4 linked regions of the Lonchura striata genome follow. The protein of the gene in region 3 interacts with the protein of the main gene of each other region in a pairwise test. Links are inferred from orthologs where the notes say so. Each region holds a gene or a part of one and is shown on either strand. Other genes may lie near its edges.

Region 1 (7,920 bases), on a different chromosome or scaffold from region 3:
AAGGCAGAGAGATAAGCAGAGTAATTTTAAGCCTTTTGATATTTACAGGTACATTCCCAACTTTTTGGCCATCATATGAGAGTGTGAAGGCTAAAACGCCTGGAATGTGTCTGTAAGTAATCAATGCCTCAAAATGCTGGGGCTTATCTGTAAGCCTTGCTTGAAGGTGTGCACTCAGTATTTGGAAGCTCTCAAAAACATCTTAATGTCTCATTCCCTCAAAACTACATTTTAGACTGGCCAGTTCAGGATATCATAGAGATTGTGTATTGGTTTTGGCATAGGGCAATGGGCAGTGCTGCTGTAGATATTCTTAATATCTGTTTATGTTTAGGGGCAATCTATGTGTCCTGTTTTATTATTATTATTATTATTATTATTATTATTATTATTATTATTATTATTATTACTACTATTTCCCCCCATGGTTCAGGCATTTTTTTTATATTTCCACTCAAGTAGTCCCTGCTTTCTCTTGTAGATCTTCTGTATTCTATCTGTATTTCATAGGGATCCCTTTTTCCCTGCTAACAAATCAACCTGAAGTTTGAAATTTTACTATATCACTTGCTATTGTGCTTAATAAATATTCTGTGGCTTTAACTTACTCTGGTATGAGTAAGCGAAGAATGCTGTCTCCTTCCTCCAAAGCATCAGCTGTGTTGAATAACAGGGCTCTCTTTTCTCCCATTCCTTTCCCATAATGTCATTATTTGTTATTACAATAATCAATTTTTTGAATTTGCAATATTGAGGAGCCAGAAAAAGAAATAAATCAGACAGAGATTATCAATGAAGCTAAAACACTTTATCCTCTCAATAATTTAAGAGCTGCTTTTAATTTTAAAAATTATGCTTCCCCTGCAAGAGATAGAGTATCCATGTTTTCTTCTGACTACTCTGGAGCATTAATTGCTGAGCAGCGTCAAACTTCTGTTTTACCAACACGCTTCAGTCAGTGCAGTGCCAGTAGCATGCATACATAAACCGGAGTACTAGAAGTGCTTTGACTTGGCTGATGATGGCTATGCGCATTCAAACCGGAGTAAGTGCTGATTTGGATGGCTGATTACATACATATGCACATCCTTGGAAAAAAACAATGCAGCATAACTGGTCCTAAATCACTGGTGTGTTTCAGAATAAATGGCATTAATCAGGAGTCGGCCAGCATCTTGTTTGGGTGATGGGGTGTTCCCCATGAGCACCAGGAGCCCTGTCACTACCCTGTGCAGATTTCCTAGCTTGTCAATGCGGTTTAAACTTCAGTGTGGGCTGTGAAAGTTGCTCTCACACCACCGGGTTTTTTTGTAAGTCTCTCTTTTCCCCAGAGTTTAGTCCAGACACAGCTGACATAAACTGGTCCCCTCTAGACTTGAAGGACCCTTCAAGAACCCAACTGATAACAAGACAGATATCAATGACTTCTCAAATTCATCACCTGAAGGCTGCTTTTAGAAATTAAAAACTTTGTGTTCCTATAGCATCTCTAGAATAATTCACATAGGAAGAACGTGTGTCATCTTCTCTAAGACACAGCAGCTTGTATTTTCTCTAGCCAGTAAAAGTAAAGAAGTCCCATCTGGTATGCTGATTCTGCTGAAATCTTTGATGAGGGGAGGAAAAAGAGGAGTTAACCCCTGTTAAGTTCAGTTCATGAAGTTCCCCGAAGACTTTATCCTCTTCCATGAGATTTTATCTGAGTTATATCTACTAAGCAAAGTGTAAAACGTAGCAAATGCAAGGTAAAATGTAAGGAGTAACATTGGAATATGAAATGGAAAGAGCCTTTACAGTGCTGATAGCAATCAACAGAACAAAGTATGTTTGCTGTCAGTTTAAGGCTTTGTTTGGCTTTTCTGGCAGCTGTATCTTCTGTGGTTAAATAGAGCAGATTTGTAAAATAAATGTGCTCACTAATGGCGTAGTTCCTATCGAATTTTCTGAGTAGTATAAGGTTAGAGAAAGTCCATGTTATGCTGGGTACTGCTGTTAATAAATACTGACTCATCATAAAGGAAATTAAAATACTAACAAGATGCATTTGGAAATACAATTATGTGATTCTCTCCACTGTTATCCAGCAAGGAGAAACCCCAGCAAGCCTTCCCAAATGTGCTGTGGGATCCCTTATCACCACAGAATGCGTCTAGTAAATTGACAGTGGTATTAAAGATACATTTGATCTTCCCCTCCCTGAACAGTCCTGGGAAAGAGAATGAATTAATAACTAAAGCTCTAGAAGACAGGCCTTTTTTTTTTTTCCTTCATGTTCAAGATGGGGAGCTCATTTGCCAGAAATAATAGTATAGACAACTTCAAGAACTGAAGCTGTGAGGGAGCTGTAAGAATCACTCAATCTTGCTTGCTTCACCTTCCTGATGCAGCAGAAAGATTCCTGTTTTTCTGGGCACTGACCTGTGCTGAAGCCCACCAACCTGTCTGTGCAGGGGAGGACAGGACAGGTGGTGGTTCTTAAGTGGTGCTCAGATGTGAATTCTCCCAAATTCTCCCAAAGAACCTTCAGGCCCTGCTGGCCCAGAGAATGAGAGATTTACACTGTTAATCAACTACACTGTATCCATGTAGGCTGAGCCAACAGGAGTCTGGCCAATGAGCTAGATGTGAAATACTTAAAATTTACTGAGTGGTTTAGATTTAGTCAGTTTGAATGCTTTTCTTGTCTGATTTTTGAAGGCAACTTGTTTATCCAAGTGAAGTGTTTTAAGATACAGCAAGGAGCATTGACATCAGCAGAGATCAATGAAGGATGAAGAGGTCTATTTAATCTAGGAAATGAGTGACTTGGGTCTTTGATCCTGTTGCATTCTCATATTCCCAGAAGGTTAAATTTAGTCCTGCATACACAAATTCTGTTTGACTAAGTTTACTTAGGTTTTAAATATTTGTGGCTTTCTTTTGTTTAGGTTCTCTTGTTATACAAGAAAAAAAACCCAACTGTTACCACATAATTAGGCTGTTGCTGTGTAAGCATGTGTAGCTCTTTTCAGACTTGAGAGCAGAATATGCAAATTCAAACCCAAATGCATTTCTTTAAACTTTCATACAATATAAAAGAAAAGGAAAACACCCTCTGACCCATTGTATACAAACGAGCCTCTGAAATGACATAGGGAAATGGCTCAAATTTGTATTAGCAAGAAATAAGTCCTGTTAGTCTCATGTTGCCTACAATACTTCCATTTTCTAGAAGAAAACCTTGTGGAGCCTAATACAAAGGTGTGCATTTGGTTCAAGATATAAAAATGTAGAGAACATGAGGATAAGCTGAAGTTTCTGCTATGCTGAAAGACAATATCAGGAAAATTTTTCATAATCCCTTGTCTAGGAAGGTTAGTGGCTTTGGTGTAAAATAAACAGAGCTCAAAGCAAGAGGGTTTTTTTTATTATTTACATTTATCTTAACTCCAGCAAGCTATAGCAGGTGCTAGCACGAGATGAGCTTCGGCGCTTCTTGCCACAGACTCGCTCCACCATGTGTCATCAACCACGAGTTTTAAAAGTGCCTGAATTGAAATATCCATTATGACACAGAAAATAAAATCGAAAAAACAGGGAGAGGAAGGAAGTCCCATCAGGGAGGTAAAAGAACAGCCCTTGCTTCCTTGCACATCCCTCTGCCCCCAGCTGCTGCCACACTCCCGCTCCTCCGTGTGCGAGCCGGGCCGAGGGCGGCCCCGCACGCCCGCGATGGCTCCGGGGCGTCGCTCCAAGCCCGCACCGTCCTTGTGGCTTTTATTTTCGTAATATTCAATTTATTTTTTCGACACCCATGCCTCGGGCTGAACGGGGGGCGCTCCAGGGGGCGAGTGCGGGGCAGCTCCCCGCTTGCCGGAGCAGCGCTCGGTGCCGGGGCAGCACCGCAGCTGCTCCGCGGCCGCCGGGCAGGTGTCGCGGCGGCCCTCGGACCGCACCGGCGGGGAGACACCACGGCGGGGAAAAAAAAAAAAAAAAAAAAAAAATTAAGTTTAATAACGAAAAACTTAAATAACTAAAAAATAAGCGGCGGAGGGGTGGGTGCCCGTGCGCGGGAGCCCCGCCGCAGCCGGAGCGGTCCGGCGGGGCGGAGCGGCCCCGCTGACCCCCGGCCGGGCCGGTGCCGGGGGCGGGGAGCCCGGGGCGCCCCGCGGGCCCCCATTGGCCGGCGCGGCGGCGCGGCGGGGCCGGGCCGTGCGGGCCGGGTCCCGGGCGGAGGGGCCGGCCCTGCCCCCGCGGCCGGCGGCTGCCCAAGGTTTAAAGTGAGAACTTTCTGCGGGCGGCGCCGAGCTGTACAGCCCCGCCGCCGCGTCGCTCCTGTCCCGCCGCAGCAGCCGCCGCTACCGCCGCCTCCCCCGGGCGGGCCGTACAATCCTCGGCAGTGTCCTGAGACTGTACGCCCGCCTCGGGGGCGACCCGGTCGAACCGGACCCCGCTCCTCGCCCGCGGAGCCCCGCGTCCCGCGGGCAGGTGCTGAGCGCGCCCCGGCCCGAGAGGCGGCGCAGGAGCCGGCAGCAGCCGCCGCGATGACAGCTGACAAGGAGAAGAAAAGGTGAGGGGCCGCGGGCGAGGCGCCGCGCTGCTCGGGCCGCTGCGTCCTCCTGCGGCCGCGGGACTCCCCGCGGGCAGGCGCCGAGGGGGCGCTGCCCGAGGGGGCACCGCCGGCGGGACGGGACGGCCTCGCCTCCCCCCGAGTGCGGCGGGACTGAGTTAGTTCGCCCAGCCCGGGCGGGGAGAGGGCCAGGGGCGCAGCGCGGCACCCCTTGCGGTAACCCGCGCTCCGTCTGGGCTGGGAGCGCTGCCCGGGGAGCTGCCCCCGCCGGGCGGCACCGCGGCCGGCAGCGCGCCCGGCCGCGGCCCGGGGAAGGCGGCCCCCGGCCGAGCCGGGCGGCGGGCAGGTGCACCTGGCAGGCAGGGCCAGCCAGCCGGTGTGCGGCCAACGTCATGTACGCCATGGCACGGCTTGGTACCAGCGAGGACAGAGGTAGTAGGTAACTGTTTTTCACTCGAGGACGGGGGTTTTGAAGGTAGCAGCACTCTTGGCAAAACGTGGTTTATAATCAAAGTCGCGTGGGTGAAACTGACAGGCTGTGTAAATATTTCGCCACCTCCTCGCTCCAGTCTGAGACGCTGGCCGCGGTGCATCTCCCGCGGTTCGCGGAGCTCCTCGGCTGCCAGCGGGTTTTCCCGGAGGGTCGAGAGCTCCAGGAGCGCCCAGCGCCTCGTTTGCTGCTGCCCTTCGAGAGGGATGTCAGGCTAGACATTCCCACACTGCCGGAGCGACCCTTCCAGCGGGAATCAAAGTAACGCACTGGTGGTTTTGTAGTTCATCGAAGAGTTGGTTCTTGAGAACAAACGTCAAAATAAAAGTCAGCGGTCCATAACACAGAAGTTACAGGTGGAGATTAAGAGAAGAATTATCTACTTATTGCTCCAAAGTTATAAACAATTCCTATGGATGAGAGAGGGCACGGGCATGGGGAAAACTAAGCAAGTGAATAAAGGTCTGTGAAATCCTGTGAAAGGATATGGATGCAGTCTGTTTCATACAGCAGGCAGTTACAAGGATCCGTTGATTATCGGCACAGGTTCTGGCTATAGATTCTCTATAGAGATGTGGATTATAGACTAAGAATTTTATGTTGCTAATTTGTCGTGCGTACTATCCAGTTGACCATGCAGTAAACTTTAAACCCTGGGTTTTTGTTTGTGTAATAGCTCCTTTTTTATTGAGTCACCCTATGACAATATAATAGGGGAGGTGTAGTGGTGTAAATCATTCCTTTTCCCTCTAGTTTTGTTTTCCTCAGTTTACTGGAAACTAAGGTTAAACAGTTAAACAGTTGCTTCAAGTGTATTTTGTTTTAGATAGAGTGAAGAGTAAAAATATACGTACATTTTGTGTCTTATGTTGTAAAAGTAAAAATTATTGTACAGTACAATGTAGTTAAAAATGTGTTAGTTTATGAAGCAAGAGGATGAAATAGTGTATATCTTGGAAATGCACTGCATTCATTGTATTACCTCTTTTTAATGGGGCACTCTTTAATCTCTTCAGTTTTAACCTCTTTCAAGCAGAGTAAGGGATTGAGCAGTGTCTAATCTTGCAGGACAGCAGACTGAAGTGGTTTGGGGAAATACTCTTCAGATACTACACAGGCTTCAGAGGACTGAAGTCTGAACCCTGATCCTGACTCTGTCACTGCTTTTGAATATTGTGACATTCAGTGACAATTTTTCTGTTTCTCTCAGAAGTAGGCTAATTGTTATCTGGTTCATGGGATTGTTGCGTAAAATAATGTTTGTGGAAGAATTGGGAGAGTGTCATATGAGGGACTTCAGATAGCTGGCTTGTGCCTCCCTGTCAGTGTGCTGTGGATATCCCCACTGAGGATGTACTCTATGTTGCTCGCTAAAACAAGATAGTTTTGCTTTCTTCATTTTCCTGTACTATTATAGAGTAGTTTTATTGCCTTGAGTTTGACAGTTAGTATATTGTTTGCTATATTTTCCGGAACAGAATAGATAAGACACAGCAGCCCAAATTGCGAATAGCATTTATAAATCACTTTCATGGAGAAAAGGTGGGATGATGTTACCAGATTTCCAGGCAGCTCTGAAACTATGTTGAGGAGCAGTTCTCTTACTGTCAAACAGATGTTCTAAGTAGGATAATCTTCATTTAATAATGATTCATTTAATGGTCCGTTTAAGTTGAAGAACATCCTCAGGTCCTCATTTGAAGCTCTGTTTGCCAGCAGAAAAGAGCAGTTGCTTTATTTAGAACAAATGTTATGGCACTTTCAGTAGGCTGATTTCCCACCTTTAAAGTTAGTCCAAGATCCAGAGTTGAGATTAATATGATTGCTCTTTTGATTTAAAAAAATTATCTAGACAGTATTAGATCCTCTCTTAGAATGCCAGTAATTAGGAACTGGGAGAAGGAGAAATAAAAGGGCATAACACATTTTAGCAAATAGTAAAAGCAAAGGGAAAAGTGTCTGATCTGTACAGCTGTGCAGTACAATGACAAGTAGTAGGTAAGTCCCAATGTAATTAGAGTAGCCTGATACAATATCTTGTCGTGTTTTTTAGTGATTTTCAAGACAGTTATTTTGTTAGGACTGGCTGCTGTGTTAAATGAACAGCTCTGGATAGACAGCAGTGTCTATTTGAGAAAAGTTTGAAACCAGGCTCAGGACAAGCCCCAAGTACCACTGAGAAGGATGCATTATTTGGCTTCACCTTTTCAGTTGTGTTGGTACTTGGGAATTCTGTGTTTGTTTTCCAGTTTTATGAAAAATAAACCAATTTTGCAGCTCAGGGTGTGCTAGTGGTCCCCATGTAATTGCACAATATATTTTGTGACCATAACCATATAACATTACAAAAATCCATTTAACTTTTTCTGGCCCAGATAGTAAAGAAATGGGATTGCCCCCAGTTATTGTCTAGGTAATAGACTGCTTTCATTTACCCTTTTACTTTGGGCTTTATTTGATGTTGAGCCCCTCTAATGAGATGCTTTGTGCCTCAATTTTTGCTGACCTTTTCCTTCAGGAGAGTAGTTTTGCCAAGCTGAAGTCACTCTTGGCTGTTCCTCCTCAGGATGAGGAAACTGTCCTGATGGCACAGCTCTCCAGAGCTCAGGTAGTTAATTGCTTGTAATGGATATAATTTGGATGTCAGGAAATGTGAGCATTTGGATGTGCCAAGGTGTTAAACTGGAGATTTCAAGAAACATACAGTCTGTTTTGTTCTCCCCAGGACATTTTCTGTGTGTCACTACTTCCAGGTATGCTCCCTATTGCCTGTGCTGTTGGTGACCGATGATCTTGTCCATTCTCTTGCCAACTTGGGTTTGTTCTTACACTCTTTTAAACCTCACTTTATGTACTTTAGCTGATGGAGCTTTGAGCACTT
Region 2 (7,289 bases), on a different chromosome or scaffold from region 3:
TCCAGAAATTAAATATTTCAATTCAAATACATTTTCAATTCAAATACATTGATTTCTTCCACTCTTACTCCACACTGAAAACCTAAATAGAGGCTTGGGATCAAAAAACATTTAATAAATAGTACAAAGGTTCTGTTTATCAATCCTGTTTTCTTATATTAGATATTGTATATAATATAGTTCTATACAAATGAGCTATCAATTAATTAAATTTTAGCATGGAACAAAGGAAAAAGACCTATGTAATGTAGTTGATACCATAATATCTCACTTTTTCACATTGACAGATCTAGGGAATTAATGACTATATGTTAAATTTCCCGAATACTTGCCTCTATGGCAAAAAGGCACTCAAGCTAGAACATGAATTTTTCAAGGGTGTTTTCCCCACATTGTTCTACAGAACTCAATTTCAGTAGTTTGAGGGGAAGTGGGGAGAGACACAATTAGAATAAAACAGAGCTTAAGAGCCTGTCTAATAAAGTTCATTTGAAGCTTAACTAAGAATCAGTGGATTGGCTATTCTTCTCAAAGAAGCATTACACTCCTTGTCTTTTACTCCCTCTATATGTAACACAGGTTATATTCTATACAGAGGAATAACATTTGTTTTCTAAAGCTGTTGTAGTTTCTTTTGGTGTCATTATCATCACAGGTTTTTTCCTCACAATATATTAAAAAGTATGTATTCTATTTGTTCCAACAGTTGTATGTTAACCATTCCCATGCATACAGGGTTGCCTGTTCATGCACTGCTCCTTTTTTATGCAGGTTAGCCTTTCTCCAGGGTAGGGATCTTCCAGAAACCATTGACATCACTTACAGAAATAAAAAATGTTGCACTGGGTCCAAAACCAGTTTGCAGGCTGCCTCTGCTAAAGTCTCTGTTTCAAAGAATGACTGTCTGCACGCTGTTGCATTTAAGGAAGTTCTTCAGTTGGGTATTTCTCAGTGGAAGTTCCCAGCTAATATTAGTCATAAGCACAAAACCACATTTCATAATCCTGTTGATACTCCTCCAGGCAACATAAAGATTGCCTATACTGTTACCAAAGAGATGAGACAAGCAAATCCAAACTTTTTGTTCCTACACTTTTCTAATGAGTAAAATTAGATTTATCAACTTCAGCATTCAGACACATCGAAAAAGTATAAGACATTACTTTTATGTTGTTTATAGTGCTCCAAATCTATCTGTCTGCATTTTGATTAAATATCCTTTAGTTTCTGGTACCCACAAACTAATTTTGTCTGTTACAACCTATAGGTAAATTACATACTAAGGTTTACATAGGCTCATCAACTATTATTCTTGATGTTGGGAAAAAAATAATCAGCCTCAACTTCCTTCACGCTATGAAACGACAACATTTGGTCTAAATCCACAGTTCTCATTTTCTGACCAGGAAAGGCATTTCAAGATCAAAACATGCTTTTTATTTTGTTAAAGCAGCAAGAGACTAAAAGAACGGTGAAACACCCCAGAGCAACAGAGACTTCCAGCACCCCGCACACTCCTTTGGGACCACAGTCTCAAAGTTCTGGAAAAGGTTTAACATCTGACGTGAGCCACCTAGCGTCTGAACGAATGGCTACATTAAAAACTTGCAACAAACATTTTAACCTCTTTCTAGTAGAAGCCAATTTGCATTTATAAGCTTAGAGAATCATAAAAAGGAATCAGATGAAACCTTTGATGAACTCCAGCCCTTTGCCAGCTGCTCCAGCAGCAGCCTCTCCCGAAAGCAGTGAGTTCCTCCCCGGGCCCCACGCAGTGTAACCAAGAGCACAGTGTTAACTCATCAGCACAGACTGTTAAAATACCATTTCAGAAGTAATGTAAAAAAGCAAACTGTATATAGATGATGTAAGTATTTAAATACACTGATTGACCCACTGAGCACAAACTTGAATTTTCACAATAAAAAAAGTATCAACTTGCTAGTTCCCAATCACCAAGAAAAAAAAAAAAAAACAAACAAAAAAAATCCAAACAAAATCCCCTACCAAGAACAAAAAAACACCCCACTCTAAATTTCTAAACATAAGTAGTCAAAGTAAGACTTTCTCTGACTCTGAACACAAAGTAAAATAAAATATTAAAAACAGAAAGCCCTGCACCACCACTCCCAAAGCCCAGATAAGTGATTTGCAACTGCTTTTAAGATAACTAGATTCCTAAAATCCTAAATAATTTTTATATACACTGATAAGTGCTTCTTCTTTCAGCTGTCTTATGTGGACTACATACAGGAAAACAATCATGCCTTGACAATGACATAAAAGTGTGAAAGATTGATGTGGGGTAGAAATACAGAAAGCTGTTCCTGGAAAAGCTGTAGGGAAGGGAACACAGAGACAAAAGAGGAGAAAGTAAAAAAACAAAGAAAAAGAAAGCAAGATTAAGAAGAAAAGGACATAAAGTAATTTAGTAATTGAGCAAAGCAGAAAATACTCTAAAAGATCAGAGATCAATTTAGCTATGAAATAGAGGTTTTGTACTATTTTCATGGGTATTTTTCTTTTCTTCAATTTAGTTTATTCAAAGGTTGGAGGTCTCTAGGATTATCAAGATGGATTACTTTAAAGGTTGTAAAATATACCTTATTGTATTGGGGGAAGAAATCTAAAGAAAGAAGGCACTAAATAATGAAAAGAGAGGAAAAACCAGCTTCTCCCATGAGAAAGAATATTACTGTGAAAGAATATTACTGATAAAGCACTAAGACATTAATGCATGTTCTTTGAAAAGTCATGTGTGTAGACAGTTGTCAGTATTGAGTTGCTGAGATTGAGATCTTCACAGTAAATTTACATTAAGTACGTTCCAAGAATTAAATAAGCAATTTTTTCCCCTAAAACAACTAACATGCAATGGTAGTATTTCAGAGGTGGTATACATGTTCTGGCTATTTGAATTCAGGTAGCCATAATTTTAGTTGAGGCATGCTTAACCACCAGACAACACCCACTTGTGCTTTTCTGCATATTATCCCTTCTTAAATATAGCATAAGTTAAATTATATTGCATCTGAATTTAAGAAATTCAGGTTATGTTTCAGCTGAGATATCCATTATAATTTTAAGTGCACAACTACTTGCCAAAACTGACTAAAAATGTAACATGTAGAATTAAAAGAGAAACAATAGCCTTTTTTGCCCACACCCTAATTTATTTTTTAAGACCCCGTTGAATGAAACCTTAACTTGGACGTCTCAAGCACTGTCTCTGAAAAAGGAAATTGAATTCCCCTTTCTTGGAAATACGTTAAAAGAGCAAACTCTCTCTGAATCTTAATAATTCATTAGGACCTCACCTTAAGTTCTTAAAAATGGCCAAACAGGAAGTATATTGATAGGCTCATTCACCTCTCTGCCTGTAAGTCTCTTTAGCCTTAGTACAGGCCAAAACAGACCAAAAGAGAAGCTGAAGTCTCTGCAGGAAAGATAAATTATAATATAAATAATCTTCAAAAGAGCACAGAAAGCAACAGCTAGCTATTTCTGTGGCGATGTTTGAGCTCAATCCTCAGGATTCCAAGGGCAGCTGCCCAGGGTAGTAGGTAGGCTGTAATAGGTGGAATGCAAGTTCTGATCCATGAGTGAACAAACCAAAAAGCTCTGCCCTAGAAGAAACACCACAGCTCGGCTGCATGCATATGTTCACTGGGGTTCAGAGACAGATGAGATTAAATGAAAATCTGCAGTGCTTCTCTGCCGCTGGCTCTGTGATGGTATACTGGGCAAGTATGTACAAATGCCTCGTGTTCTCCCATCCTCCTACACACCTTCAGGGAAAAAAAAGCTGTATTTATACACGTGACCTAAAGAGAGAAGGGCTTGTAGCAGTAGCAAAATTAAAACCGTATGTTTCCACTATCATCTTACCTATAGTATTCATTGCCTACATTAAATAAACGCAGGCAGGGAAATGCCTCAGTAGTAACCTACAACAGAGAGAACTACCCTGAGCATGAAAAGTAAATATACTTTTATATACAAATGTAACTACTGTTATTTACAAATCACTCTTAAGTCATGGAAAGACAGAAATAGGAAAGTGCTGTGGACTTCGGGAGCAGCACAGAGGCTGCTTGAGCGGTCTTCCGCAGCCAGGCAGAAGAGGCACTGCCCGACAGCAGAGGCGAGCGGACCGGCTCCCATCCTCGCGCGGGGCGGACAAGGACGGCGCCGTCCCCGCGCGAACCCGGCACCTCCGGCGGCCGCCGCCCTGCCCTGCCCCGACCCGGGGCCGGCGCGGGCAGCGCCCCGTCACAGGGCGGGGAGAGGCACGGCAGGAAGTCGCTTCTGGTTCCTGGGTTAAGGCGCCCGGGCAGGAGCGAGCGCCCTTGCCGGGAGCGGCCGCGGGCTCCGTGAGGCGCTCGTAAGTCTGAGTCGTTTTGGAAACCACGCGCTCCTGGCGCTCCCGCGGGAGCGGCGGCGCTCGGCCCGGGGCCGCACGGCGCACCAGGGCATCCCGAGCCGGGCATCCCGACCGGGGCTGCCGGGCCGCGCTTCCGCCCCCCGCTCCCGGGGCTGCCGCTTCCCGCTCGGCCCGGCTCGGGAGCGGGGCCGGGGCCGCGTCGTTCGCGAGCGGAGGCGCTCCGGGAGCGGGGAATCGGGGGACGGGATCAGCGGGCTCGCTGCCGGGAGGCGATGGCCCGGGCGGGCGAGCGCAGGAGCAGGAAGAGGCGGCTGCCCCCGCGGGCAGCGGCGGCGCGGCGGGGGGAGCGGAGCCCAGCGCCCCGGGAATCGCCGTCCCGAGCCCTGAGCGCACGGCGGCTGCCCAGCTCTAACGCTGCTGCCGTGCCACGAGGGGCTCCTGCTGTGTTAACGACGCATCCGCCGTCGGGCAAAGCAGGAATTGTGTCTACTCAGAAAAAAACAAGGGAAAAAACAAAACACAAAAAAGTTCAATGAGCTCTCAGTATCTCACAAATGATTAACTCAACAGACTTCCAGTTCCCGAGATGATGGCAGTGTAACTTAGAAAATATAGCAATCGAAAATTCTGTTTTGAGAGCAGAAATATGTAGAGTACTTGTGGTTGGGTGGCACCTGTGTTCTCATCTCTCATGAAACTATGGGAGATAGGAAAGTGTATTATGAATTAATGTGCATATACACATGATTAGCTAAAACCTTTCATAATTTAAGGTGGTTTTTGAGGCGGTATGAAAACTAGTATGAAAACTAGTGAGCTGTGAGCTGGGATTGCAGCAGAAACATGTTGCTAATCTTTGTGTTGGAGCTTTTTTGGCATTTGACTAAGAAAATGCATATTACTACTCCTTTTCTTCCCACTACCTATATCAGCAAAATGTTTCTGATTTTAAGCAAGTATTTTAATATAAACTGCAGGTTTCATTTGTTGTTTACTTAGAAGTTTGTTTTACAACATTAGCTGTACCCAGTGATTATCCAGTATACAAGTCTTTACTCAAATATGAAATTCCACTTGTCATTGCCATAGCTCCAGCAGCATAGCACTCACAGGTGTTCAGACTTTCAGAACAACCTCTATAACTAATCTCTTCCTTTAATTCTGTCCCTGTTAAAGATCAGGATTGTCAGCTTTGAGCTGAATTATGTTCCAGCTGCAATTTAGGTACAGCATAACTAATCATAACTAATTTAAATAGCAGGGGTATTTGGGTTGGGGTTTTTTGGTTTGTTGGTTTTTGGGGGGTTTTTTTAGGGCTGTTGGGAGGGAGTTTTTTCCTCCTCATTGGATGCAGGGAGAAGGGTAAATGACAAGGAACAGTTGGCAAATTCCCTGATAAATATTGATGCCTATGGAGGAGAAGCAGGAAAATGAGCCAGTTTTTCTAACTGCAAGGAGTTCTGGATACGAGACAGATAACATAAGAAGCAGTTATTTATTCCAGCAGCAGGCAACCCGGGGTGTGACTACAGAGTAGTTTAATCCAATCTAAATCTAGACTGCGGCAGTCCTGCCCACGGCTAGTCGCATGTTCCCACTGCCTCCTTGTGCTGGTAGTAGTGCTCCAGCAGCCTTGCAGTGAGCTAGCTCCAGTTTTAATTTTGAGATTGGTTTTTTTAGGGGGTTTGTTGTTGCTTTTTTGAGGACGTAGGGAGCTACTTTGGTATACTCAACTGTGTAGCATAGAAGTACTGCTAGCGGTATCAGTAAGCAGCAAAAATGCATGGCCAGAGATGGGAAAAGCTGGCCTATCCTGCTCAGTGCAGACTTGTGACACTGTTACACAACTCTGACTTTGTGTTACAATTCAAAGCCAGTGCTGCTGTTGAGCACAGGAGTTCTGTGTGCCTATTGCTGAGTTCTGTCCCTGTACAGGCTTCCTTGTGTTATCGTGCCATTTGAAGTGGTCTGTGGATCTGACCTGCATTAAAATTAATGTGGAAAAAATATATTCAGTATTTAGTTTTAAACTACATTGGTTTACTGATACAGTTTACAGAAAGGTTTCTCATGCTGGAAGAAAGGGAAGGGTAAGGTCAAAGAAGAATATCTAGGGTATGGGGTGAATATAGGACCAATTCTTCTAGTTAAAATGCCATCTTAAAGTGTCACTAGTAGTGACTTTCAGTGACCTTTCTTTGCATGGAGTCTGAAGTTTAGGGAGCTACCAGTAAGTTATTTTTCCATACCAAGTAGAAAATCAGGCACTGTGCTATAGTTCTGCCTGTTGGATCAATTACTTTTGATACCATCAGTACAAATGACAGCAGCGCTCTTTGTTAATGTTCCCAGTCACAATGAATGACTAAAAGGCTGGAAATTAGGTATAAGTTTTAAATATTGTTGCTCAAATAGAGGTTTGAGTTTGCATGAATGAAATAAAAACTTTCATTTTCTGTGAACTGTGAGTCACATGGAGCTGATCCCTCTTCTCTCCATTAGAAGCTGAACATAGTTTCTTAGATCCCATTGCACTCATTTTTTGAAGTTATCTCATATGTATAGGACATGCCATTTACTAGGTAAGTTGTTAACAGTGGAGGATTTCAGAAGAGTACAAAATCAATACTGATGCAAACTTCACGAGCTTTTAAAGATTGTGAGAACACACTTCCAGTCACTTTCAGCTATAACAATGCCCTCTGCAGTTTAGCACCTGTCCCTCAAGGCAGATACCTTATTTTATTAATTGAATTACACAGAACAGTCCTTCATCTGAAAAGGAAAGAAAGCCTACCCATTTCATTAAAGATATGCCCTAGATATGAGCATGAATATTCTGTTTATTGAAGGGATACTGTTTGGGGGAGGAAGGAGATGGATGAAGTAGCCTGTGGTACTAACA
Region 3 (7,723 bases):
TGTCCCCAAGTGTCCCCAGGTGTCCTCTTGTGTCCCTGCTGTCCCCAGGTGTCCCCAGGTGTCCCTGCTGTCCCCAGACGTCCCTGCTGTCCCCAGATGTCCTCTCGATGTCCCCAAGTGTCCCCAGGTGTCCCCTTGTGTCCTTGCTGTCCCCAGGTGTCCCCTCGGTGCCCCTGTCCCCAGGTGTCCCTGATGTCCCCTGCTGTCCCCTCGATGTCCCTGCTGTCCCCAGGTGTCCCCAGGTGTCCCCTCACCAGATCGTGGGGTAAATCTTCTTCCTGGCCAGGTCACCCTGTGGGGGGGAGGGGGAGGGGTCGTTCAGGGGTGGGGGAGGGGCGAGGCCAGCGCAGGGCGGGGCCCCGGCCCCTCCCCCACCCCGGAATGTGCTGAGTCAGCGCCGCCGCCCCTCCCCCCCCTTGTTTAATTGGAGGTGTTGGGTAACGGGGTGGGGGAGGGGCGGAGGAGGAAGTTGGGGTGCGGGTGGGGGAGGGGCGGCCCCGCCCCGGCCCCGAGGGCTGACCAGGAGGGGGTGGGGGGGTGGGGCACCCCAACTTCTTCCCCTCCCCTCCCCCACCCCTCCACGCCCTCCCCCGGAGGCAGCGGGTGGCCGCCCCTCCCCCATCCCCCAAATAACCCCAAATCCCCCCAAAGAACCCCAAATCCCCCCAAATAACCCCAAATCCCCCCAAATAACCCCAAATCCCCCCAAATAACCCCAAATCCCTCCCAAATCCCCCCCAAATCCCCCCCAAATAACCCCAAATCCCCCCAAATAACCCCAAATCCCCCCCAAATAACCCCAAATCCCCCCAAATAACCCCAAATCCCTCCAAATCCCCCCAAATACCTCCCAAATAACCCCAAATCCCCCCAAATTCCCCCAATTCCTCTGAACCCCCTTCAGTTTGCCCCAAGGCCCCCCAAAATCCCCCCAAACCCTTTTAACTTCCTCCTCAACCCCCCAATCTCCTTTATTTCTCCCCAAATCTCCTAAATCCCTTTATTGCCCCCAAATTTTTCTTCCACCTCTCGATATCCTTCCACTTCCCCCCAGATTTGCTTCCCACTTTTTTGCTCCTCCGGCCCCCCAATTTCCCCCCAACCCCCTCAATTCCTCCCCCAATTCCCTTTATCCCCCCAATTCCCTTTAACCCCCCCAACCCCCAAATTTCTGTCCCCAACCCCCCCAATTCCCCCCCAGACCCCGAATTCTGCCCCTTAGCTCCTCAATTCCTCCCCCTGAACACCAAATTTCTGCCCCTAACCCCCCCAAATCCTGAATCTCTTCCCCATACCCCCTCATTTCCCCCCCAAACCCCCAAATTTCTGCCCCATAGCCCCTTCAATTGTCCCCAACCCTCGAATTCCTGCCCCTAACCCCCCCAAACCCCGAATTCCTGCCCCTAACCCCCCCAAAGCCCCGAATTCCTGCCCCCAAACCCCCAAATTCCTGTCCATAACCCCCTCAGACCCCCAAATTCCTGCCCATAACCCCCCCAAACCCCCGAATTCCTGCCCCTAACCCCCTCAGACCCCCAAATTCCTGCCCCTAACCCCCCCAAACCCCCAAATTCCTGCCCCTAACCCCCCCAAACCCCCAAATTCCTGCCCCTATCCCCCTCAAACCCCCGAATTCCTGCCCCTAACCACCCCAAACCCCCGAATTCCTGCCCCTAACCCCCTCAGACCCCCAAATTCCTGCCCCTAACCCCCCCAAACCCTGAATTCCTGCCCCTAACCCCCCCAAAGCCCCAAATTCCTGCCCCCAAACCCCCAAATTCCTGCCCCTAACCCCCTCAGACCCCCAAATTCCTGCCCCTATCCCCCCCAGACCCCAAATTCCTGCCCCTATCCCCCCCAAACCCCGAATTCCTGCCCATAACCCCCTCAGACCCCCAAATTCCTGCCCCTAAGCCCCCCAAACCCCGAATTCCTTCCCCTAACACCCCCCCAAACCCCGAATTCCTGCCCCTATCCCCCCCAAACCCCCAAATTCCTGCCTCCAAACCCCGAATTCCTGCCCCTAACCCCCCCAGACCCCGAATTCCTGCCTCTAACCCCCCCAAACCCCCGAATTCCTGCCCCTAACCCCCCCAAACCCCGAATTCCTGCCCCTAACCCCCCCAAACCCCCAAATTCCTGCCCCTAAGCCCCCCAAACCCCGAATTCCTGCCCCTAACCCCCCCAAACCCCGAATTCCTGCCCCTAACCCCCCCAAAGCCCTGCTCTGCCCCGTGGCCACTCACGGAGGCGCCGAGGATGACGAGGACGTGCGGGTGGCCCTGGAGGAAGGCTCCGTCCCGGCTCAGCTCCTGCCGGAGCATCCCGCACACCTGCGAGCGGCTCAGCTCCCCCCCGGCGGCCGGCGCCGCCTCAGCCGAGCCCGGCATCGCTCCTGGGGGCCGGACCGGGCACTCGGGGGGCCGGACCGGGCACTCGGGGGGCCGGACCGGGCACTCGGGGGGCAGGTTCGGCCACCCCGGGCAGGGATTTGGGGAGCAGAGGAACAGGTTCGGCCAGCCCAGAACAAGATTTGAGCGGTTGCGGGGCAGGAAAGGGCAGCCGGAGGGACGGGTGGGCACTTGGGGGGCACAGCTGGCACTTGGGGGGGTGGGATGGGGCACCTGGGGATGGGGTTTGGGGGGTTTGGGGTGGGATGGGGCACCTGGGGATGGGGTTTGGGGGGTTTGGGGGGTTTGAGGGGTTTGGGTGGGTTTGGGAGGTTTAGGGGTGGGTTTGGGGGGTTTGGGTACCTGGGGATGGGGTTTGGGGAGTTTGGGGGTGGGTTTGGGTACCTGGGGACGGGGTTTGGGGGGTTTGGGTGGGTTTGGGAGGTTTAGGGGTGGGTTTGGGGGGTTTGGGTACCTTGGGATGGGGTTTGGGGGTTTTGGGTGGGTTTGGGTACCTGGGAATGGGGTTTGGGGGGTTTGGGGTGGGATGGGGCACCTGGGGATGGGGTTTGGGGGGGTTGGGGTGGGATGGGGCACCTGGGGATGGGGTTTGGGGGGTTTGGGGTGGGTTTGGGTACCTGGGGATGGGGTTTGGGGTGGATTTAGGCACCTGGGGACGGGGTTTGGGGGGTTTGGGTACCTGGGGATGGGGTTTGGGGTGGATTTAGGCACCCGGGGGATGGGATTTGGGGGTTTTGGGTGGGTTTGGGTACCTGGGGATGGGGTTTGGGGGGTTTGGGGCGGGTTTGGGTACCTGGGGATGGGGTTTGGGGGGTTTGGGGCGGGTTTGGGAGGTTTAGGGGTGGGTTTGGGGATGTGGGGATGGGATTTGGGGGGTTTGGGGAGGGTTTGGGAGGTTTAGGGGTGGGTTTGGGCACCTGGGGATGGGATTTGGAGCATTAGGGACGGGTTTGGGAGGTTTTGGGGCAGGTTTGGGCACCCCGGGATGAGATCTGGGAGGTTTAGGGGCGGGTTTGGGGATGTGGAGATGGGACTTGGGGGTTTTGGGGAGGGTTTGGGCACCTGGGGATGGGATTTGGAGCTTTAGGGGTGGATTTGGGCATCCGGGAGATGGGATTTGGGGGTTTTGGGGTGGATTTGGGGGTTTTGGGGTGGGTTTGGGAGGTTTTGGGGCAGGTTTGGGGATGTGGGGATGGGATTTGGGGGTTTTGGGGTGGGTTTGGGCACCTGGGGGGCAGGGCTGGGGTGGTTTGGGGCGGGTTTGGGCACCTGGGGATGGGATTTGGGGGTTTTGGGGTGGGTTTGGGAGGTTTTGGGGCGGGTTTGGGCACCCGGGGTGGGGTTTTGGGGATGGGTGGGGCAGGACACGCCCTCCCCCCATTGTCCCCCCCAAATCCGCCCCAGTTCCCCCAAATTTCCCCCCCAGGACCCCCAAATCCCCCGAACCCCCACTGACCCCTCGAACCCCAAATCTCCCCCCTGGACCCCCCAGATCCCCCAAATCCCCCCCATTTCCGCCCTCAGCCCCCCATCCCCCTCCTAACCCCCTCCCCATCCCCCCCAGATCCCCAAATTTCCCCAATTTCCGCCTTCTCCCCCCATTAGCTTCCTCTCAATCCCCCCACGGACCCCTGGACACCCCCAGACTCCCAATTTCCGCCCTCACTTCCCCCCAAACCCCCCCCAAATCCCCCTCAGACCCCGAATTTCCCTCAGATCCCTCACAGACCCCAAACTCCCCCATTTCCGCCCTAAAGCCCCTCACGTTCCCCCTCAGGTTCCCCCCGACGCTCCCCTCCAGGCCTCCATGGACCCCCCGGATTATCCCAGAGCCCAGATCCCCTCACGTCTTCCCGAATTTCCCCACATTTCCCCATTATTTCCCCATTATTTCCCCATTATTTCCCCCCGCACCTTCCCGCTCCGGCCGCGCTCGCGCCGCCTCCCTCACGCTCGCGCGGGTCCCCATCCCTTCACAGAGGCCACGCCCTGTCCCCTTACCCACCAATCACCGCCGAGCTTTCTCCAGCCTCAACCAATCATCGCCGAGGGAGGGCGGGGCTACGCGCGGAGGCGTAACCAATCGGCGCCCTCCGCCCTCGGCGTTGCTATGGCGCCGCCACGACATCGACCGAGGCGGAAGCGCGGCGGGGCGCGGTGACGTCACGCGCTCTCGGCGGAAGCAGGAAGTGGCGGCGGCGCCGCCGCCGGAGCCGCCGGGATCCCAAAAATCCCCGAATTCGGCCCAAAAAAAAAAAATCCCCGAACTCGGCCCCGAAGCGCGCCCGGGAGCCGCCGATGAGCGGCGGGCGCTGGCGGCGGCCCGCAGAGATGGTGCAGCCGGGGCCCGAGGCGGAGCCGGCGCTGGCGGAGGCGCTGCAGCGGCTGAGGGCGGAGAACCGCGAGCTGAGGGGTGAGAGCCGGGCCGGGCCGGGAGGGACCATGGGGGGGCACGGCGGGGGTCCCCAGAGGTGTCCCCGTGTCCCCACTGGGGTGTCCCCAGTGTCCCCCGAGTCCCCTCAGCACCTCCAGGGTCCCCCCCGTCCCCAGGGTCCCCCCAATGTCCCCCCAATGTCCCAATGTCCCCAGTCCGCAATGTCCCCAATGTTCCCCGATGTCCCCTCAGCACCTCCAGTGTCCCCCCAATGTCCCCCCAACATCCCAATGTCCCCTCAGCACCTCCAATGTTCCCCCCGTCCCCAATGTCCCCGATACCCTCAGCACCTTAAATGTCCCCTCCAGTGTCCCCAGTCCCCAATGTCCCAAATGTCCCCCCAATGTCCCCAATGTCCCCAGTCCCCCCCAGTGTCCCCGATGCCCTCAGCACCTCCAATGTCCCCCCCATTTCCCCAGTGTCCCCAATCCCCAGTCCCCGGTGTCCCCAATGTCCCCCCAACATCCCAATGTCCCCCCAACATCCCAATGTCCCCTCAGCACCTCCAATGTCCCCCCCAGTGTCCCCAGCCCCCCCAGTGTCCCCAGTTCCCGATGTCCCCAGTTCTCCTTGATGACCCCAATGTCCCCAATCCCTCCAATGTCCCCAGTCCCCAGTGTCCCCCCAACATCTCAATGTCCCAAATGTCCCCAGTCCCCCCAAAATCCCCAGTTTCCTTCAATGTCCCCCCAGCATCCCAATGTCCCCAGTCCCCCCAGTGTCCCCAGTCCCCAATGTCCCAAATATGCCCCCAACATCCCAATGTCCCCAATGTCCCCAGTCCCCCCAATGTCCCAAATATGCCCCCAGCATCCCAGTGTCCCCAGTCCCCCCAGTGTCCCCAGTGTCCCTAGTGCCCCCAGTGTCCCCAGTCCCCAATGTCCCTCATGCCCCCAATGTCCCCAGTGTCACTGCTGTCCCCACTGCTGTCCCCAGGAGCCCTGTGTCTCTGCTGTCCCTGTGTGTCTCTGCTGTCCCTGTGTGTCACTGCTGTCCCTGTCACTGTCCCCAGGTGCCCTGTGTTACTGTCCCTGTGTTACTGTACCTGTGTCACTGTCCCTGTGTCACTGTCCCTGTCCCCAGGAGCCCTGTGTCACTGTCCCTGTCCCCAGGTGCCCTGTGTCACTGTCCCTGTGTCACTGTCCCTGTCCCCAGGTGCCCTGTGTCACTGTCCCTGTGTCACTGTCCCTGTCCCCAGGAGCCCTGTGTCCCTGTGTCACTGTCCCTGTCCCCAGGAGCCCTGTGTCCCTGTGTCACTGTCGCTGTCCCTGTCCCCAGGAGCCCTGTGTCACTGTCCCTGTCCCCAGGTGCCCTGTGTCACTGTCCCTGTGTCACTGTCCCTGTCCCCAGGTGCCCTGTGTCACTGTCCCTGTGTCACTGTCCCTGTCCCCAGGAGCCCTGTGTCCCTGTGTCACTGTCGCTGTCCCTGTCCCCAGGTGCCCTGTGTCACTGCTGTCCCTGTGTCACTGTCCCTGTGTCACTGTCCCTGTCCCCAGGAGCCCTGTGTCACTGTCCCTGTCCCCAGGTGCCCTGTGTCACTGTCCCTGTGTCACTGTCCCTGTCCCCAGGTGCCCTGTGTCAATGTCCCTGTCCCCAGGTGCCCTGTGTCACTGCTGTCCCTGTGTCACTGTCCCTGTGTCACTGTCCCTGTCCCCAGGTGCCCTGTGTCACTGTGTCCCTGTGTCACTGCTGTCCCTGTCACTGTCCCCAGGTGCCCTGTGTCCCTGTCCCTGTCCCCAGGTGCCCTGTGTCACTGTCCCTGTGTCACTGCTGTCCCTGTCACTGTCCCCAGGTGCCCTGTGTCACTGTCCCTGTCCCCAGGAGCCCTGTGTCTCTGCTGTCCCTGTGTGTCACTGTGTCCCTGTGTGTCACTGCTGTCCCTGTCCCTGTCCCCAGGTGCCCTGTGTCACTGCTGTCCCTGTGTCACTGTCCCTGTGTCACTGTCCCTGTGTCACTGTCCCTGTCCCTGTCCCCACGTGCCCTGTGTCACTGTCCCTGTGTCCCTGTCCCCAGGTGCCCTGTGTCACTGTCCCTGTGTCCCTGTCCCCAGGTGCCTTGTGTTACTGTCCCTGTGTCACTGTCCCTGTGTCACTGTCCCTGTGTCACTGCTGTCTCTGTGTCACTGTCCCTGTCCCCAGGTGCCCTGTGTCACTGCTGTCCCTGTGTCACTGTCCCTGTGTCACTGTCCCTGTGTCACTGTCCCTGTCCCCAGGTGCCCTGTGTTACTGCTGTCCCTGTGTCACTGTCCCTGTCCCCAGGTGCCCTGTGTCACTGCACGCAGTCGCTGCGGCAGCGCCTGGAGGAGCTGCGGAAGCTGCAGCAGCAGCGCCGGGGCGAGCGGGAGCTGCTCTGGGGACGTTGGGGACAGGCCCGCGAGCTGGTGCTGCACCTGCGGGGACAGCGCGGGGACACCCCCGGGGACAGCCCTGAGGACACCCCCGACACCCCCGGGGACGGCAGGGACACCCCCGGGGACGTCGGGGACACCCCCGGGGACGTCGGGGACACCGCCGGGGACGTGGGGGACACCGCCGGGGACACCGCTGGAGGCATCAGGGACACCAAGGACACCCCTGGGGACACCAAGGACACCCCCGGGGACATCAGGGACACCCCCGGGGACATCAGGGACATCCTCACGGACACCAAGGACACTGCTGGGGACATCAGGGACACCCTCAGGGACACTCTCAGGGATCCTGGGGACATCTGCAGGAGCAGCCCTGACGCCAGCACTGAGGTGTGTGTGTCCCCCTCCTCGTGTCCCCTTCCTGTGTCCCCTCCCCGTGTCCCCTCGCTGGCCCCCCAGCTCCTGTGGGGTGCCCCTGATGTCCCCAATGTCCCCCTGATGTCCCCAGTGTCCCCCTGGGGTGCCCCC
Region 4 (7,376 bases), on a different chromosome or scaffold from region 3:
CATTATTTATTATTCAGCTTAGTAAATATATGCCCTTATGGGGAAAAAACCCCACTCGAGACAAGAATTCTAATTTTTGACTTGGAAAAGAGCTGCTGCTGCTGGCACGTGAGCAGCATTCCAGAGAACACATACCACCAATTTTGTAGACATCCTGAAGAGGCAGACGCAGAGGTTTGTCAGTTGGACGAGTTGGTGGCAGGATGCAGTCCAGGGCTTCAAGGAGGGTGGTTCCACTGGCACTGCCATCCTTACGGGTGATCTTCCATCCCTTGAACCAGGGCATCTGTAATGCAAACAAACCCAGGTTAATCCGACTGCCAAATTTAATGGTGCCAAGCCTGAAAAAGCCCAAGCAGCATCCCTTAGCATCATTTCAATTTACTGCTGCAGAGTAAGAACTTTTGTAACTGCTAAGATTTATCTTGAACTTTAGCACTTCCCAAACATAACTATTACAAAATGTGCGTTTTATCATTGCATAATTGGACTTAACAGTCTTCCTAGTTTCATGCCTTAACAGAAATAAATGTCAAACCTACGTTAGAGCTAGGCTCCAGCATGTTGTCACCATTCCAACCAGAAATTGGCACAAAAGCCACAGTGTCTGGGTTGTAGCCAATCTTCTTGATGTAGGTGCTGACTTCTTTGACAATCTCTTCATATCTCTTCTGGCTGTAGGGTGGCTCAGTGGAATCCATCTTGTTGACACCAACAATCAGCTGTTTTACACCCAGGGTGTAGGCCAGAAGGGCATGCTCACGGGTCTGCCCATTCTTGGAAATACCAGCCTCAAACTCACCAACACCAGCAGCAACAATCAGGACAGCACAATCAGCCTTTGAAAAAAAAAAAAAAAGAAAAAACAACCTCACTATAATGCTTGCGTGTATGCCAAAGTAATACAGGAACCGCCCCCTAAGCAACCAAGGAACAACGTTCCAGAACCCCCCAAATCGTACTTTCTTTACATACCTGAGAAGTTCCAGTAATCATGTTTTTAATGAAGTCTCTGTGTCCAGGAGCATCAATGATGGTGACGTAGTATTTGCTTGTTTCAAATTTCCACAGAGAAATATCAATAGTAATACCACGCTCACGTTCAGCCTTCAGCTTGTCCAAGACCCAGGCATATTTGAAGGAACCTTTGCCCATCTACAGTCAGAAAAAAACCCATTTTTATTACCATTAAAAAGAAGGGGTTTTGTATCTGCAACTAGTTCAGAAAGATCACACTGACTGAAGAGCAAAATCTATTAATAGTAACTGGCTTAACACTGAAAAACGCTGCTGCTCATAAAAACAGCAACAAGATACGCTTAGCACTACTGGTGAGAGATGCCAACTGTTGAATCTTATTGAACTTGCTGACAGTTCAGACTCCTTGGCAGCTTGTTAATTTCACTAAAGCATCTTTATGATAGAGCTCTTGAGCCTGAGTCCTACTATCAGGTATCTTCTACAATTTTAAGTCCTCCTACTACTTCAATCCTTGCAATAATCAACACCTTAATTTCCACTCTGATAAACATTTGTCAAATTTTATTCTATGTTCTTATGACCTGTGCTGTTATTACACAGAAAAAGAACAGTATCAGTAAAACTCCCAGATTTTTAAATTAAGACTTTTATCAACTATCCTTCTATGTAGTTTGTATCTGGCCATTTAACCTGATTCGAGATGTTACTATTCAGATGTAGCTTTAGACTACCTTCTCTTGACTTGCTTTACACTTCACAACCTGAGTTTCTGCAATTAACACAAGGGCAGATGGAACACTTACAACACTTGTTCTACCTCGGGGACAACTGCAACGCAGCTGCCGCCCTGTGGCCACGCAACACTGACCCACTTGTTCAGCTCTTGGGGCAGAGGCAACCGAACCGCCTCCCCGTGGCCACTGAAGGCTTTGCAGGTTCACTTTTCAATTAAGGGGCTAGTCATTCCTGCAGCCCAGAATTTTGCTGGCTGCTATGCGCCCACCCACCTCAGCCGCTTCCTTCTCGAACTTCTCGATGGTCCTCTTGTCGATGCCCCCACATTTGTAGATGAGGTGGCCGGTGGTGGTGGACTTGCCAGAATCGACGTGGCCGATGACGACGATGTTGATGTGGGTCTTCTCCTTTCCCATTTTGGATGTTAGCTGAGTTCTTTCTTTCGGCAAAAGAGAATCGACACCTGCAGGTTCCCGAGAAGAAGCTGGTTACGCCTCGGGCCGGGCCTCGGGGCAGCGATGGCGGAGCCGCACGCGGGCGGCCGGGCCGGGATGGCGGCCCCGCCCCGCCGGGGGAGGGGAGGAGCGAGGCGGGCGGGCCGCGGCCCCTCGGAGCGCCCCTCGCGTCGCCCCCTCCCCGGGCTCGAGTTACCCCGGCGGCGGCGGGGGCGCGGGGCGGCGGCGAGCGGGCCCGGCGGGCAGCCGGAGGGCGGGGCCGCCCCGCTCCTTTGTGTGACTCACCCCGCCCGGGCCGCCGCGTCCTCCATTTTGTGGCGCTGGCGGCGGGCGGCGAGGCGAGCGGCCATTTTTGCACTCGTGCCCCGGCCCCCTCCCGCCGGCGGCCCCGCCGCCCCGCCCGGCACGGCCCCGCGCCGCCGCCCGCGGGGCGCAAGGGGAGGCTGCCGGGCGCCTCCTGCCCCACGCCCGCCCGGGCACGCCGCTCCGCCGCCCTCAGCGCGGACAACGGGGGTGTGCACATGGTAATCGAGCAGAACGATGCGCCGCCATCCCTCCGCCCCGCGCTCCCTTGCCCGCCCGTCCGCCTCGGTTCCCGCCGGCACCCCCGGCCCCTCCCTCCCCTCGGCCCCCTGCACGCCCCGGCCCAGCGCTCGCCGGGCCTCCGGGGCGAGCGGACCCCGGCCCGGCCCGGCCCGGCGGACGCGCCTCACCTGCTCGGCGACGGCGGCAAACCCGGAGCGAAAAAGACCGACGGCGTGAGCTCCGCCCCTTATATAGCCTGCCGGGGGGCGGGGTCTCGGGACACGTCACCGCTCCCGGCGGCCCCGCGGCCCCGCCCGGGCACGGAGCGGCCCGCCCCCGCCGGGCCCGAGCGGGACCCCGGCCCGGCCCGAGCGGGACCCGGGCCCGAGCGGGACCCGCCCGGCCCGAGCGGGACCCCGGCCCCGAGCGGGACCCGGGCCCGGCGCTGTGCCGAGGGCTCCGCCGGGAAGGGAGCCGTGTCCCTGTGGCGCTGGGATGGAGCGCGGGCGGGATGCCGCCTGCCCGGAAGGAAGCGGGGCAGCACCGAGCAGCCCCGGCCCCTGCAGGGCCCAGCGCTCGGGCCCGGGCTACGGCCGCGTCAGGCCGGGCCCGAGGGACGAAAGTCCCTGGGGAGCAGCCCCGGCGAGTTAATTGTATTTCGCATTGGGGGCACAAAGGAACGCAATCAGCGAGATTAGAAATTCAGTGAGTTACCCTGACCGGCAAGTAACAAATGCCGGCTGAACATCGCGAAACTCCCCCTACCCCCGTACGTTGCAAGTCTCGCAGAATCAAACGTGGAGAAGGAGGGGAAGAGCAGGAATTTCTGGAAGCTTATCACACCGGAATAAGAAGCCATCGTTTGGCTTAAAAAAAAATGAAAAATATTTTTCTGGTTTTGTTTTACCGTTAGAGGACGAAAGTTGACTCGTCTTAGGAAACTTCGGCACAAAAAATACAAATCAAGGCAGACGCACTATCAGTAAAGATGCGTCTGAAGTGCAAATGGATCAGTCACGGAAGTATTCAGGACAGGGGTTCTCTGTGCAAGAAACCCTGACTGCAGAAACTGCCCCCATACTGTATTTTCACATGGGAAAACCGGCAGCCCTGGCAAATTATTTTTAGAATCGTGGCAATGAGGAGTCACAAAACAGCTCACAACATCAGAAATAAAGGCCCTCGTGATTCCAGTAGATTTTTTTTTTCTGGTTTAGTCGCCTGTAACTGATATAAGAAAAATCATTAAATATTCAACATCTCCTATACCCATCCAAGAGAAATTAAAATGAATAGCTGAACTGTCTCTGTTATTTTTAAATTATCTGCAAAGCTATGTAGTCCATCTTCTTATTCAGCTACATTATATGCCTGTCAGAAATAGTTACTTATCTATAGACAACTATCATCCATTTCTTGTTATGCTCTTCAGGGTGCAGTTGTATAGCATGGAAACAGCTTCTTGTTCAAAAACAAACAAAAAAGAAAACATCAGCAAACTAATAAAAAAACTACCTCATGCATCTACAAATGTACCCTTCCACTTAACTTCAAGTTTCTCTGAGATAAACCCAGCATCAAATTCATTAGAGAGCACTAAACTTGGATATCATGCTTTGATATGGAAGTGTTTCCATAAGATAAGGTATTTTTCCCACATGAAAAATTAAAAAGATGCATTTTGTAAAAAAAAACAAAACAACAAAATGTCATTAGAGAGCATGCTGAGTTTAGAGTACACCTTTTACAAAAACAAGCATTTCAGATAATAAAAGTGTTCAATATCTGAAAAAGGGTTCAGATATTAAACACTTTTTTTTTAAGAAAGGAAAAAAACAAATTCTCTCTCACCCCTTCTTATGTTTTTCAGCAGAGATTAGTAGTAGTGGGGGAGGGAATATAGAAATGGTGCAGCTTTCCTCAAAATTAACCTTCAGGGCCAGTTACTAGTGAAGACACCGCATATGAAGACATAGGAAAAGAGCAGGAAAAGGAAGGTGATCTGCTTTCTGGAAATGGAAGTGCATTCTTGTGAGTGGCTTGGTTTGAAGACCAAAATATAATATTTAGCAAGAAAGCTAGGAAACAGTTTTTTAGGGTCTTCTATAAAGCAAAGACTGTAAACACAGTTAAAAAGCTTTATTCTTCAATATGGTTTGAAGTTACCTTCTCAAATGTGTATTTCAGTGGGGGAGGGGGGGTGTTTTTAATGGACTGATCTGTCAAAGAAACCATTTTCATAAAAAGGTAGTTTTAACACTTCCCAAATGCAGTCAATTATTTGTGCCTGAACAGGAACATGAGGAAGGAAATATGTTACTAAATTCTTATATGGTCCATACTAAACTGCATATTTCTAATTTTTTTAAAGCTACTGTTCTTAGAAGATAATTTCATAAAGGCTCTTAGAATCAGGTGTTTCTTAAGGAAGTAATTTCAGGTATTTCTTCTCTAAGGCAGTATCTATATAGCTGAAAAGCTATGAAAGCTGAATTTGTGGTACAAATTTTTAAACATAGTCCTAGTTTAAATCTACAGCAGTTATTTTCCCCCTCCACTTCTTTAAATGAGTTTTCAAAATAATTCTATTATTTCCTCTTTAGTTTGACCAATACATGTTTTTATTCTCTCAACAATTAGTGTATCTTTTCTTGCCCACTCCATTAGAAGAACATTCCTATTATCAATCTCAAAAATATTTATACAGCTGGGGACCTTCTGATATATGAGTAGCCTCAGACAATACAGTGGAAATGCATTCTGAAGAATCCTCTCAGCTAACACAAATAGCCCTACACTGGACTAAATCCTGTTTGCAACAGCCTATAAAAATTTTAGATTGTATTAATTTGGTAAAACTAATCACTTTAATATGTAACATTTAGGAAGGAACAAAGATAAGACATTTCAAGAAGTCAAGGATATTTAGCCATTTAAATAGGGCTTATTCAATACTGACATCAGAACTAGGAGGACATTCTCCTTTGATCACTGGTGAGCATATGCTAAACTGAAATATCCTATGTTTACATATGTCTCCAGTGTAAGAACACAGAGAATGCTCTAAAGCATGTGTATTGAAGGAAACCACCATTTTAAAAGGGTTTTGAATCTCAGGTCACATGATATTAAAATAAAAGTCTAAGCCAAAAAAATCTAGGCCAAAAGTTTCAGCTTTAAAAAGTATATGTCATCTGGATTTTGAGTTCATAGTAGCTACTGAAGCATTACTTCCATTTAGCATGTGGCTCCAGCACATACAGAATGGGCTGTAAGCTTAGAACATATTCACAGCCAGTGAAATCATGCTAGGAGATAAAAGATGTGCTCACTGAGCATCTCTAAAGAATTTCAATTCTACCATATGCACATGGGTATTTTTTTTGGTCAGATTCCTGTGCAAAGATGCAGGTAAGTTAGGCTTATACAACCATTTTAATTGCAATGACCAAAGTCATTCAGGAGTATGAGCAAACAGACTTTTTATGTGCAAGACTTGAAGCAGATCTGATAAATTGAGTATATCAAGCTCACTATATATGAAAGAGGCACTAAGATTTCTTGAGGGCACTTTCAGGAAGTGGTGGAAAAGCAGTCCAAAGTTACCAATAGTAGTAATTGGTGATCAGCAAAACTGGATTCTAATACACAGCACCATTCTGTTATACAGTTAGCCTCATACTTACTGTGAAAGGTTTTCTAATCCCTATATTATAATTATCCTGGTACGTACATTTGTCCAAAGTTCAATATAAACTATAGCGTGAGCATACAGCCTTACTTCCATCTATAAGTGTTCTTTAATGCATTGATTCCTAACAGCAATAAAAAGCACCTACACCTGTTACAAAACCCTTTTTCATACATGATCTTAATACTTACAACCAGTTTTTACAATCATCTGCTTATGAAATAAGAGAACAATAGAATAATGGTGTTATTCATATATGAAAAGAGTAGACAGAAAACCTGCCTAAAGAAAAGGTTTAACTGAACAGGGTGAGGTGATCTATACTAATAGAAAAACACTATTTTTGAAAATTACTTAGCTCTGTACAAGTAGCTGGCATTTTTATATAAACAAAATTGCTTGTTAAAAGAAAGAGACAACAGTAAATACAGTTTAAGTTATTGTCTTAGTAGACAGTATAAATTAAACTCTTCCATCCTTGGAAGTTTAAGACTTGGACTAATTAAAGTCATCTTGTCTGATCTCATAGCTGACCTTGCTTATAGATTCACAAAAGAAGGTCTTACAGTAGGAGGTATAACACAGTGGACTTCAAAACTCTTGCGAGTATCACTGGGATGAACACGCAGTGACAATTGCAGAGTCTTCTGAATAGCTTAACAAGAGCCTCTTTAAAAGTCATTGTTGCTCATGAAAGAAGTTTCCTCTAGGAAGCACTGCCATTATAGTTACAGCATTTATAACAGGTGATGGAGTACTGGCTTGGAGGATAGCCTGCTTTAAAAAAAAAAAAAAATCCTTTGGACAGTCTTTTCAAACCACATTATCCACAGCACGAGAAAGCTCATTTATATTGAAGGTTTAGTACTGGCTGAACTGTGATACCGAAGGTTTGGGATCAGGCAGAGTGGTCAGATCATGCTGGGATGTGACCAGAACTAGCAGCTGTATTTAAACCCCATGTGCTGTTCTGTGGAGTTCTGCAGAGT

What was found.
Region 1: the proteins of IKBKG (region 3) and EPAS1 interact in a two-hybrid assay, tested with the Homo sapiens proteins (2 studies listed by BioGRID, with this or other methods). The link is inferred for Lonchura striata from reciprocal best matches to the Homo sapiens genes IKBKG and EPAS1.
Region 2: the proteins of IKBKG (region 3) and TANK interact in binary tests that used the Homo sapiens proteins (3 or more experiments, as listed by UniProt). The link is inferred for Lonchura striata from reciprocal best matches to the Homo sapiens genes IKBKG and TANK.
Region 4: the proteins of IKBKG (region 3) and EEF1A1 interact in a two-hybrid assay, tested with the Homo sapiens proteins (2 studies listed by BioGRID and IntAct, with this or other methods). The link is inferred for Lonchura striata from reciprocal best matches to the Homo sapiens genes IKBKG and EEF1A1.

The regions. Positions count from the first base shown.
Region 1 is NC_134605.1:16,709,116-16,717,035, forward strand, and holds the start of EPAS1 (endothelial PAS domain-containing protein 1), read left to right. Parts: upstream 1-4,903; 5' UTR 4,904-4,941; coding exon 4,942-4,988; intron 4,989-7,920.
Region 2 is NC_134610.1:16,853,520-16,860,808, forward strand, and holds the start of TANK (TRAF family member-associated NF-kappa-B activator), read left to right. Parts: upstream 1-4,280; 5' UTR 4,281-4,384; intron 4,385-7,289.
Region 3 is NC_134638.1:2,064,534-2,072,256, forward strand, and holds the start of IKBKG (NF-kappa-B essential modulator), read left to right. Parts: upstream 1-4,709; coding exon 4,710-4,824; intron 4,825-7,103; coding exon 7,104-7,161; intron 7,162-7,305; coding exon 7,306-7,585; intron 7,586-7,723. Other genes in the region: G6PD (glucose-6-phosphate 1-dehydrogenase), read right to left, coding at 255-292, 2,247-2,395, 4,326-4,380. UniProt on the Homo sapiens protein: Regulatory subunit of the IKK core complex which phosphorylates inhibitors of NF-kappa-B thus leading to the dissociation of the inhibitor/NF-kappa-B complex and ultimately the degradation of the inhibitor.
Region 4 is NC_134605.1:83,911,959-83,919,334, reverse strand, and holds the start of EEF1A1 (elongation factor 1-alpha 1), read right to left. Parts: upstream 3,004-7,376; 5' UTR 2,885-3,003; intron 2,180-2,884; 5' UTR 2,133-2,179; coding exon 1,989-2,132; intron 1,156-1,988; coding exon 976-1,155; intron 840-975; coding exon 543-839; intron 287-542; coding exon 136-286; intron 1-135. UniProt on the Homo sapiens protein: Translation elongation factor that catalyzes the GTP-dependent binding of aminoacyl-tRNA (aa-tRNA) to the A-site of ribosomes during the elongation phase of protein synthesis.